Oryza sativa Japonica Group: one gene and its partners. The protein of the gene in region 1 binds, or shares a complex with, the protein of each later gene. Links are inferred from orthologs where the notes say so. Each region holds a gene or a part of one and is shown on either strand. Other genes may lie near its edges.

Region 1 (4,141 bases):
TTGTACAATATCCAATTTTAAGACAGCTACAGGAAAGCATTGTATCTAGAATCCAAGAAGAAGAATATAAGAACAAGCAGCCTAGCGCACTTGTGCGAAGATTAGAGCTTTCAATACAGCTTGAACATTCTACATTTATGGTAGCTGGCCATAGAAAAACAACTCCCTTGGAACTAAAACATAAATTTTGCATCAGTAATTACTAGCAAGTGCTGTTCTCGAGGAAAAAAAACTAGTCACTGCTAATAATGTTGCGGTATCGGGGGGCGAGGGGGGGGTGGGTGGGCAGAACTTTAATATGACACATTCTGTCAGTGTTATTACCCTGCACTATGAATGGGAAGGCCCTATGCTATCTAATAATACTAAGCAGGTAATGGTAATAACGATGTAAGGCTTATATCGGCAAGACACTGATTAGTTACATAAGATTCTGCCAGTCATCAATAGCTGGTATTTCGCTGTTTAGCCACGTGTATCCAAAGAAGCATTTTGTAGTTTGTACAAGTGCATGAAAGAAGCAAGAAAAATAACCAGTCAGATAGAATCAGCTATGAACCTATCTGGGAGATATCAAATTTATAATGCTCACATAATTCCGGAGCTCCTCTTGCAAAAGCTTTATCAACTTCTGATCGTCTGATGGAGTACGTTCATAAGATAAAGAACTGCAATTCAATAGCCTGTGCTCCATCTCATTATTTTCACGAACACTCTGGCAAGGACCAGAAACAAATTAAATCAATATAGATGTTGAACAAAAATATCAAACAAATAGTAAAATAGATGAGAAAGATGATCTAATGAGATAGCCTATTCTTAGCAGGGAAAGATTAGAAATATTGCTAGACAAAAATAAGCATGCAAATTAAAATATGAGCTGACAAGCATGCAAATTAGAGATAAGCTGACCTCATCTAGTTGCTTTTTTAAGTCCTCCAACTGTTCATTCAGCAACTTTGCTTCGTCCTCAGAGTTTAGCGCCCTGAGTCTCATTCTTTCAAGCTATCATCAGACATTTTCAAACAGATAAGCCAATATCTAGTAATAAATCATTATGCACAAGAGTTCAACAATACAGACCTCCGCATTTAGTTTAGAAATGGATAATTTTGTGTCGTCTTGCAAGTATGAAAGCTTCTTCTTAAGGGCTTTCTTCTCCCTTTCTGAATTTTCAGATAAACGCTGCAAATTCCCCTCCAACTCCTTGACTGACTCCTTTGCGGATGCTGACGATGATTCAGCAGCAATTCGAGAATCAATCTCTTTTTTCAGCTGCGTCTGCAGCACCAAGATCTTCATTAGTCATGCCAATAGATGAGCAGATATACGATTAAAAAAAGGAGCTGAATGTTTGCCTCATCACTTATGTGTCAAGCCAATGTCCCAGTGGGTGTGTACGTCCAGACCCACTTTATTAGGGAGTTAATGAGGCCTTTTGCAAATATTCAGTGGTGCAGAAGGAACTAACCAAAAGAAATGGGGGGTGTACATTAAAGGCAAGTCACCAGCTATGTGACGGGATGGAGGTCATGTGCCAAAGGAGATTTGCATACCTCAAGTTCCCCTATCTTCTTGATTTGATCACAGTAGCGTTCCTGAAAGTCACCCACCTCCTTTAATAATCGCTCTTGCATTGCACTTTCCCGACCTTTTGTTGCTGCCAATTCTTGCTCGACATAATTCAGTTTGTCCTGGCATGTTGCCCTCTCATCCTCTGAAGCAGTAAAAAAATGTTTATTGATTACCTTTAAGTATGTGCATGCAATTGCTTCGAATGTAATAAGCTAACACCTATTTCTAACAGTAGATTGCTTAGAGCAGTGAATCTGATTCAATACTACGTGTCCTTCCTACTTTCTGCGCCCGGCAAATCAAACTAAACACAACTAGGAAGAAGGTAGGCCCAAACTCCGTGCATGCTTCAAGTGATACATAAATGTATCTTGACCAACGGATATAGCAAATCGAACTTAAGAAGGTACACATGCGAAAAAAGAACAGCATACCACTCTTGGATAATCGTTCCTCCATATCATCAAGTGTGGCTCGATACTCCTGAACTTGCTTCTCTGCAGTGTCCAATGCCACCATAAATTCTGATTTCACCTACGAGAATTACATACAAGAAAAAAGAACACACCAGTATGTATATATCAATATGGTACACTGGCATGTAATAACGCTTACTGCAACAGCCACACACAATTATTCGCTCCACGCCATCTATTTCCTTACAAATTGATCAATCAATCGATAATTGTCTACATTTTTGATGTGGCATGCGTGGAATCAACTGAGCTAAGCATATCAAATATGAGACTACCTGGAGCTAAATGGGAGCTCGAGGCTGGAGTAACACCGAAATTACTAGACACGCTATGCTTCCACCGACCATTGGGCTAAGACAACAATAGCAGTAGAAGATAGGGGCGAAGCGATCTCACCATCTGACGGCAGTGGTACGTGCAGACCATGTCATCCATGGGCTCCCCGGGGACGCCAGCGGGTACGAGGGCGGTGGGCCGGTCGTAGAGCACGAGGCGGCGGTCGGAAACGGGGCTCCGGGTGGTGGCGGTGGCGGCGGCGGCGTCGACGTCGGAGTCCGCCCGCCGCTTCCGCTGCGGTGGAGTCCGGAGAATCATCTCGCTGGCTTCGCCGGGGGCCGCGGGGGGGGGGGGGGCTCGGGGGTTCTAGAAGGTTCCTCTAGGGTTCTACCGCAGGGAGATTGGGGAAGGTGAGAGGGGAAGGCTGGAATGGGTAACGACGAGGGATTTGATTTGAATCCGCGCGGATGCCTGTAGAACCAGTGGGGAAAGCCGGAAAGGGTGAAAGGCGTCCGTTCCGATCTCCGTTACCCCATTCCCACTTTTACCCCAATTCGTCGGCCCTCTGTTTATAGGGTTAATTGGATCATGCCATTACAAATATGGCAAATAAAAAAATGTCACTCCTATTTATGAAATCGAGTTAATGCCATTGTAATTTTCTAAAATTAGAACCATACCACTCCGTCACTATTTCCGTCCTCTCTGTCATAATTTTTGCCGTCTCTGTCTTCACCTTTCATCTTGGTCTCAACGGCGGTTGGGCAACATGGCGCCGGAGGAGAGCAGCACGGCGGCGGATGGGGAAGGAGCGGCGAGAGGCGTCGAGATGGGGAAGGAGCGGCGAGAGGACGAGCTCTTCTGCCAGAGGAGTGCAGCACGGCGACGGATGGGGAAGGAGCGCCCGCACCCGCCTCCAAGACCGTCCTCGGCGGCGACAGCGGCTGCGTCCGCGCCGTCGTTGGCGGCGGCCATGCCCGCTCCCCGCGACCGTCCTCGCCGGCCGTGGCCGCAGCCGCGCCAGCTCCCGTCCTCGCCGGCGACGGCCGCGCCCGCTCCCCAACCTCTGCGACCTCCCCGCGACCGTCCTCGGCGGCGGACGCCCGCTCCCCTCTGGCGTATCACCTACCAATACCATAGCAGCTTCTGGCTCACCATGGAGCATGTCCTTCTTGCTCATTCTTCAAGATAGAATTGATGGTCCCATGAACGCGCGGTGCAAGTTCACCTTGCTCGACCATACGGGGAGTCCAGTGCTGTCCCATGCCCAAGACAGCCCAGTCCTCGACTGGTCCGTCGACAGGATTTGGTGCTGCTCGGATCTCGTCATGGAGGAGGAGCTGGATCGGCGGCGACCGGAGCTTCTCGGGGACGACGACTGCCTCGCCGTCCGGCCTGCTCCCCGCTCCCGTCCTCGCCGGCGGCGCCCGCGACCTCCGCGACCTCCCGTGACCGTACTCGCCAGCGGCAACCGCGGCCGCACCTGCTCCCCGCGCTCGCGACGTCCTCGCCGGCAACCGCCTCGTCCTCGGAGGATGACGCCTTGCCCTCGCCGTGCCATCGTGAGAGAGGAGGATGACGACGTGAGAGAGAACGACGGAAATAGTAACGGGAGTGGCATGGTTCTAATTTTAAAAATTTTCAGTGGTACCTGGCCGATAACATAAATAGTAGTTGCATTTTTCTGATTTGTCACATTTACAGTGGCATTGATCCAATTAACCCCTGTTTATACCGTCGAAACGTTCGAGCGAGTGCAAACTTGTGACATGTGAACAAAAATACGAAACTCATGTGGTGGTGTTTGAATCTCC
Region 2 (4,231 bases), on another chromosome or scaffold:
GAGAAAGGAACAGAACCTCTGGAAACATAATATAAGCTGAACTATTCTTACTGCTTGAGGTTTCTGCTTGTTGCTTGCCTAAGCTTCAGAATAGATGGTTTTGTACTCTTTGGCACTTGGGGAACTGGTTCCCTGAAATAATCAAAGGAAGGTATATAAAAATTATACGTTTTTACAGTTACTCTTTTTAAAGAACTATTCAAAACTGTTAACTTAAGGGCACAGTAGCATACTCGGCGCATTCGTCATCTACGAAGACTTCAATGGAGCTTACACGAGTCGGCTGAACTGCTGCCCTCGATCCAACCTTCTGAGGAATCTGTTGTTCAGTGCAATACTATCATCAGTTCATTGATCATTACTGAACCGATAAACCTCGAGACATGTCGCAAAAAGGGACCTTTTGAAGAATTCTAGTGGCTTAGGGGAGAAAAAAAAAACCTTGTGTGATGTCCATTTAGCAGGCCTCATGTTATTTTCTTTGTTCCGATCTGCTTGTGATCCAAGGGTCTGCCAGGCCGTGTTGTTGCTCCTGGTTCTAGCAAGGCCATGACTAGGTAACGAATTCTCATCTGTGTAAACTGCAAGTGGCCTATTGACATCAACTCTGCAAATTTGCAACAGTATCAACACCAGTAAAAAAATTCCAGGTTCATCTAGATTTCTTTATACTGATTGCATGCGTATAACAAGTAATAACCTTTGCAGAGTTTTCACCAGGTGAGAGTTTTCTGCATGCTGGCCTCCTGCCACATCAAAATGCAACATTAGTTCACCCAGCCAGGCACTTGAAATTGATGTTAATCATACCATCACAGCAAACTTACTGATTTCACCACGGTTCAAGACAGTCCCAAAGTTGCGTACTGGATGATCATCAGTAGTTGTGTCATCCTGTTTCAACAGATAATAGAATTCATTCAGTGGGCAGTGGAATATAGATTAAAAATAGGGTACTAAATCAGCCTATGTACACCTCAGGATGTGCCTTCTTTTTGGATGATCTCTGAAGAAATGCCCTGTATGTAGTTTCCAACTTCTCCACAGGCTTTGCTTTCCTGACCAAAAAAAAAAAAGCCAAAGAATTTTACGGTTTAATATGCACCATTCCATCAAACAAAATTCATAAATAGTATGCTTTAGGTATTAAGGTGTAGGTAGAGCAGAAAATTGAGAAATTATATCATATCCCTCCAACAAAAAATAGAGAAGTCAGGAATACATGTTTTAATCTAGAACAGTTCATAAGCTTACTCCACAATCAGTTTAATGCATTTTAGTTATAATACATAGAGCTAAAATGGTGAGTGGGAATATGGAAGACTATACACCTTGCAGTCAAACAAATGCATAAATCGTATGCTTTAGGTATTAAGGTATAGGTAGAGTGGCAAGAAAAGTCATATCCCTCCAAAAACAAATAGAGAAGGTAAAAGTTTTCAGCTACAACGGTTCATAAGCTTACTCCAAATTAGTTTAATGCATTTTAGTTACTATAATTCATAGAACTAAAACAGTAAATGGGGATATGTAAGACTATATGTTTGTTGACTAAAAATCCGAAGAAAACAGACTTCAAATCTAGAACAGGAATTCTTTGTCAAAGGCTATATGGAAATTTAGAAGGAACTTATCTATTATCACTAAAAAATAATCTACTAGCAGACTAGCACTGAAGAAAATCCGCAACCTTTCTCATATCTGAAGAAACTAAACTACCAATCCCCCATAAAATTCTCACCTGGCAATACCAAGGTTAAAAATCTCATTAGCTTTCTTTAGCTTGTTCTTGGACTCCATTACCGACGCATAGGACAAGTAGTAATTGGTATGGCTCTGACCAATCTGGTTGGCCTCCAGGAACCTGAATATCACCTCGGAATCAGCACAATTCCCCGCCTGCATACAGATTAAGATCAAGCCAAACTGGATGTCAAAAGGAAACCAAACCAATCCAATCCAATCCAACCAATCCACCTCAGAACCAATCCTGAATTCATGAAACTCACATATTCCAGCCACACTTTGAGGTAGCGGAGATCGTTCTTGTAGCGGTCGTCGTGCCAGAAGGCACGCACGCACTGCTCGTAGATCACCACCAACCCGGAGCAATCCCCGCCTGTCGGAAACGACTCCTGAACCCATTTGATGCAGCTGCGTGTGGATTAAGCAGACAAAGGCATGCCATGAGCAGCAAGCTTGCGGAAACCGCAGAGAAATCGCCGACATGGCAAATCTTTCGGCTCAACCTACTACTACTAGTATACGAATCAATGAAACAAAGGGGAAATTGCTTACTCTATCCATGGTTGGAGCGGATCCTCGCCGCTGTATTCGTCGATTGCCTCGATCATTTTCCTGAATCAGTAGATCAATCAAACGTAGGACGAAAAAAAAAAGATTACCAGAGACCCGCCCCCAAATCAAGAAATCCAGAGCAAACCAAACCCAAGAACCGAGAGACGCGGGTGACGGGAGCGGCGGCGGTACCTCCGGGCGGCGAGGAGGGCGGCGCGCTGGGCGGGGTCGGCGTGCGCCTTGAGGGCGCGGTTGAGGAGGCCCACGTTGCGGCCGCGCTTCAGCGGCCGCACGTTCTCCTTGAACGTCTCCCACTCCGCGCACGGCGCAGCCGGCGGGGCGTCGCCGCACCCCATCAGCATCAGAGTCTCCTTGTCGAGCGCCACCACCGCCTCTTCCGCCGCCGCCGCCGCCGTCGTCGCCATCGCCGCCGCCATGTGTTCGTCCGGGCGCCGCTCCGGAGCCGACCGTTTGGGAGGAGAGATATTCAAATTGGAAGAGATTTTTGACCGTTGAGCTGAGGCGGATGCTGCTGCTGCTCGGGTTTATATAAGGTGAAAAAGAATTGGGCTTTTCATGAGTTGGGCTTGGAAAGTTTATGTGGGCCTAAAATTGTTGGATCTTGATTGCGTCAGCACTCACACGGCAGAGTCACTATGAAGAAATTCAGTCTCAGCCCTGTTCAGCTTGTCAGCTAATTAGCCGATAAATTCATAGATTAATTCAATATACTGTAGATTATGAAGTTAATTAATTATTTGGTTAGAAAAGGTTATCGAAACAATGCTATTGTAGAAAGATTTTTGAGAAATCATACTGTTAAAATTGTGGCCCGTCAATTCGCCGTGATGAATGAGTTTTGTTTTTTTTATGTTAATGCTGGAGTATATGTGTTTGTGCAAACATTACGCAGAAGTTTGTGATGATCAGTTGATCTTCACATGAACAGATTTAGTTTCTTAAATCACATGAAACACAAATTGTTCAGCTTTTTTCCCCAAGACCAGTTGCGTAGTTCTTAAAAGCATAACTCAAACTTGAGGCAAAGGCGCAAAGCTTCATGCTTGCTGAACTTTCTGTTTTGCCACGATTAAATTTCAGTTAAACTGATAGCACTCTTTCATATTGCACAAAAAGAACTCCAAACAAGTGCTCTAAATGTTCAAACTTCCATAATAAACGATATAATATGTCTTTGCTCTTCCATTACAATTGGTTACATATCTAGCAGGAAGCAGTAACAGGTAACTTAATTGGACTATGAACAGGCAACGAACACGCATAGAATCTCACAGCCTTCTCGGTGGCTGCATCTGTGAAGGATCCACAAGGCCTTCCAACACAACAAGCTGATCCAGCAGCGCAAACTTTTCATCCTCGAGAACGCTGGCTTCCTCTTCAGCCTGGCTCAATTGCTTGTCCAGCTCACCGTTCTCATCCTCCAGCAGCAGGTACTTCTTCCGTAACGCTCTGTATTCATCAGCTGGACCGAACTCTGGCACCGAATCGGGGGTTCCCCAATCAGATTGCGGAGCCGAATGGCGAGGTTCATTCTTGAAGGTTATCTTAGGGGCTTTCTTGGTCTTGCCGGATGTGAGTGGAACCTCCCTCCGCAGCAGCTCAGGTTCAGCTTTTATTTGGCTGGGAGGCAAGGGGCGGGAAACGACCTTTCTCTTGTGCGTCTTCGGGGTTGCGAATTCATCTCGTGGCATACCTCTTGGGTCTTGCATTCCCTCCGGTCACTCCTCCCTGAACAATGCAACTCAAGTGAGAAATTTTACTAAAGCATAATCATAAACATATAATTCATTCTCAAAACAATATAGCAGGCAATTCAATAGGATAGATCAGCACTTAGCACTATGTGGAATACTACTACTTAAGGTGCTCCTCAAGCAAATCTAATTATCAGAGTGTGCAAACACACAAACTA
Region 3 (3,501 bases), on another chromosome or scaffold:
GGTCCTGGGGTTCCTCTGGTTTATATGTAAATGTAAATGTAGCTCTGTAGCATCTTGGTGTTAGTTAGTTTCCAATGTGTTTGTTACCCATGCTGATACTGGGTTTTACATTTGTCACAAATAGTCTTGGAAGCTGGAAACAAATACATTCATCAGAAGTGTAATTTGTCCGGACAACGAAGGTTGTCTGGCAAAATGTAAGATTTCTGATGGATTGTTGCAAACAGCCTTGGAAGTTCCGAAGCTGGAATAAATTCATTCAGCAGAAGTGCATTTTGTCTTGAGATTGAAGATGGTACAAAATTACTTCTAATTTAATATGCAAGTTTTGACAAGAAAAACGGTGGTCGATATAACATAAACTTTGAGGATACGGCTGTCTTGAGATTGAAGATGGTACAGAATTACTTTTAATTTAAGTGCATTTTGTTATTCACAGAGCATATGACTTCAAAACACCTTGAATCTTTTGAGATTCTGAAGTGAGAAACAACACATATAATTGAACAACACAGTGAAGAAATCGTGGCACACGATCACGATGCATTCAACTCCAGTGGTACTTTCAACCCAGGATTTCAAAGGCTGAGGAAAAAAAAATCATGGTGAAGCAGCGATACACAGTCGATTCTCCCAAAATGCGGTAAAGAACAAGAAAAGGGATTCTCCCAGAGCACACGAGTTCCGATAGGGCTAGGGCGTGAATGAACGAACGATTCACACAAGCATCACGCCTAGCAAGCTAAGCTAGCTAAATAAGCTAGCAGCAATAAACTAGCAAGGGGGTCTCCTCCTCATGGCTCCAACCTCCACCGGCGGCTTCTACTCCTCGTCCCACTCGTCGACCTTGTAGGAGACGAGCGTGTCCACCTTGTGAATCTGCCATGGCAAGAACACGGCGCTGTAACGTCAGCAATCTGGGAGAGGCAGCGAAAAAAAAGAAACGGAGTCGATTCAGTGATATTCACCTTGGTGTCGAAGGAATGCAGCTTCACCATCTGTGGATTCTCGATGAGCTTGGCGTCGCTCTCCACCCAGGTGAAGGGCACCGCGACGTCCATGTCGGTGTACGCCAGCACGTCGAATATGCCTGCAAAATCAATCAATCAATCAATCAATCAATCGACGAATGCGGATGAGCTGGGAGGAATTGGGGGGGAGAGCAGAGGCGATGAACACTGAACACTGAAGAAGTAGAGGTGGTGGTAATGGCGCTTACATGGCTCGTCGAGGCAGGGGAGGTAGGTGATGCAGGAGGCGACCTGGCGCATGATGGCCTGGATCTCCCTCATGATCTCCTTGTCGCTCTTCTCCTTGATGACACCCTTGTCGACCACCTCCGGGTCGGTCTGGATGCTGAAGTTCCACCGCTCCAGCACCTCGGAGGTGGCCTTGCTCATGATCACCAGCACGATCCTCTGCAGCTTCCCGGCCTCCAGCCACTCTGCGCGCGGCAACGCAGGAAACACAGGCAAGATCAATCAGCAGCAGCAAAAGAAAAAGAAAAAAGAAACCAAATGGAGACAGGCAGGCTAGTGATCCGGTGAGTGAGGCCAGACGACCTGAGAGCTGGGTGTTGAGGTTGGCGATGAAGGTCTTCACCCCTTCGTCCTGCGTCAGCAGCATCGTGAGGCCGTACTTCTTCACCTTGGTGAAGCTCTCCTCCGGGTACACCCCGCGGTTGTACAGGATGCTGCGCCACGCACAAACCAAGAACACAAAACACCCCGGATCAGAAATTAACCCTGAATCTGCAGCAACCGTTTTTTATATTTTTTTTCTTTCAAAGGAAACCAGCATCAGCGCAGCGGCGGCCGTCGATCCTGGCACCCGCAACCGCGCGAAGCGCGCACCTGTTCGCGGCGTAGCCTGCCACACGAGAAAAGGCATTCGATCAAACACCTATCGGGCGCGCGCACGCGTGAGAGGAGCCGAGGGCGAAAAAAAATAAAAGAAACGGAAGCGGAGATCGGCTTCTACCGAAGAACTCGCTGACGATGGCGGCGGAGCCCCGCAGCGTGATGATGTCCTTGGACGCCGTCCTCGACGCCATCTCCTGATCCGCCTCACCTTCTTAACTCCTCCTCTTGCCTCCCGTGCGGCGGCGGCGGCGGCGGCGGATGGGGGGAGAGGAAAGAGGAAAGGGGGGGAAAAGCCGGGCAAAGGCAACGGCTAGTGTGGAGCGGATCGGCTGCGGGCTGCGGCGCTTGGGAACTTGGGAGCGTTGTTTGTCGATGGGTCGTGTTGGGTCAGGTGCGGGGGAGAGAAGGTGTCGGCGTGCGGGTGGGTTTCGGGAGTTTTTAAAGGTGGGCCGGACCTGCGCTCCCAACGGTCGTGTGGGCGGTGGGCCAGTGGGCTTCGGTTGGCGCGATTCGCCCAAGCCGCGCGCTCTCTTCGAGTCCTTTACCTCTTGTTGATGATGAATTGTACTGGTACCAGTAGACTACTAGTAGAACCGTAGAAACACCATTTTCTTGGAGAAAATGCTCCTGGGTGGCTGGGTTTTTGAACTTGTTCGGACGGTTGGCCTTTAGGGCAGTCCCAACCCATAACACTAGACATAGTTTTCATAAACTCTACATCATCAAGAAATTAGTACTAGACACTACTCTTTCAATATAAACACCACTATTCCATACTTCAATTTAATGCAATTTATCTTACATGATATTTTGTGTAGAAACCATATCTCATGCAAGACATGGTTTCCTTCTCTTTCCTCATTTATTTACTTGCCACATCATTTTTTATCCTAGGTGGCAACTTATATAATGTTATGGACATCATCCTAGACATTGGGTTGGGAATACCCTTAGAAACGGAGGGAAGGTATTTGCCCTTTGCCGCCAACAACCCCTATTTGCCCTCATATTCGTCCGTTTAGCACAGTTATAACTTACCAAACAATTTTGGTTTCACCAAAAAAAATAGAGTAAAGCTGGTTAGAGTGTTCTCGCAAAATGAGCGTCTTACCAAACGAGACATCTGTTTCTTACTGTTTTTCTGGGCTTATTCGGCCGAATTGTAAATCGAAAAGTTTATTCTTCACCAGACTAAAAAAATACGCTTATTCATTATATTATCAGAGCATATCATTTGATTCACGGTTTGGAAAATTATGTTTTGAAAATACAAAAACTTATACTGTAGTCCTTCCATCACGGCACAACAACTTTTTTCCATGTCTTGTAATATAAGGTGTGTGTGCATGCATGCACATTAACTATCACCTCTTAGTCCTTTAAATTTGGTTTGTTTTAAACCATCTACCATCAAGCCCCCAATCACACTGCTTGCCTGTACGGATGTGATCTAACCGATGCGATAATCAAATTATTTCTCGGTCTTTTGCGTTAGAAGTGATTTAGCCTAACACCCATTTTGGCATGTAGGGAGTATTACTTAGACCACTCATTTTAGACATATTTTATCTTAAAATATTAAATTAACCACTATAATCGGTTATATAATGGCGATAATAATATACTCAATAATCTAAAT

The links.
Region 2: mitotic spindle checkpoint protein MAD1 (region 1) and mitotic spindle checkpoint protein BUBR1 share a complex: the UniProt entries of both Arabidopsis thaliana proteins name them as parts of the mitotic checkpoint complex. The link is inferred for Oryza sativa Japonica Group from reciprocal best matches to the Arabidopsis thaliana genes MAD1 and BUBR1.
Region 3: mitotic spindle checkpoint protein MAD1 (region 1) and mitotic spindle checkpoint protein MAD2 share a complex: the UniProt entries of both Arabidopsis thaliana proteins name them as parts of the mitotic checkpoint complex. The link is inferred for Oryza sativa Japonica Group from reciprocal best matches to the Arabidopsis thaliana genes MAD1 and MAD2.

Annotation. Positions count from the first base shown.
Region 1 is NC_089035.1:38,693,143-38,697,283, reverse strand, and holds the start of mitotic spindle checkpoint protein MAD1, read right to left. Parts: upstream 2,801-4,141; 5' UTR 2,646-2,800; coding exon 2,448-2,645; intron 2,110-2,447; coding exon 2,010-2,109; intron 1,718-2,009; coding exon 1,557-1,717; intron 1,282-1,556; coding exon 1,084-1,281; intron 1,006-1,083; coding exon 913-1,005; intron 716-912; coding exon 593-715; intron 1-592. UniProt on the Arabidopsis thaliana protein: Required for the execution of the mitotic checkpoint which monitors the process of kinetochore-spindle attachment and delays the onset of anaphase when this process is not complete.
Region 2 is NC_089036.1:5,218,447-5,222,677, reverse strand, and holds the start of mitotic spindle checkpoint protein BUBR1, read right to left. Parts: upstream 2,818-4,231; 5' UTR 2,736-2,817; coding exon 2,491-2,735; intron 2,359-2,490; coding exon 2,299-2,358; intron 2,155-2,298; coding exon 2,010-2,154; intron 1,900-2,009; coding exon 1,742-1,899; intron 1,059-1,741; coding exon 977-1,058; intron 895-976; coding exon 828-894; intron 747-827; coding exon 701-746; intron 608-700; coding exon 442-607; intron 320-441; coding exon 234-319; intron 133-233; coding exon 52-132; intron 1-51. Other genes in the region: uncharacterized protein, read right to left, coding at 3,588-4,028. UniProt on the Arabidopsis thaliana protein: Essential component of the mitotic checkpoint. Required for normal mitosis progression. The mitotic checkpoint delays anaphase until all chromosomes are properly attached to the mitotic spindle.
Region 3 is NC_089038.1:24,797,651-24,801,151, forward strand, and holds mitotic spindle checkpoint protein MAD2, read right to left. Parts: upstream 2,275-3,501; 5' UTR 2,054-2,274; coding exon 1,981-2,053; intron 1,870-1,980; coding exon 1,854-1,869; intron 1,694-1,853; coding exon 1,563-1,693; intron 1,445-1,562; coding exon 1,220-1,444; intron 1,091-1,219; coding exon 969-1,090; intron 880-968; coding exon 823-879; 3' UTR 516-822; downstream 1-515. UniProt on the Arabidopsis thaliana protein: Required for the execution of the mitotic checkpoint which monitors the process of kinetochore-spindle attachment and delays the onset of anaphase when this process is not complete.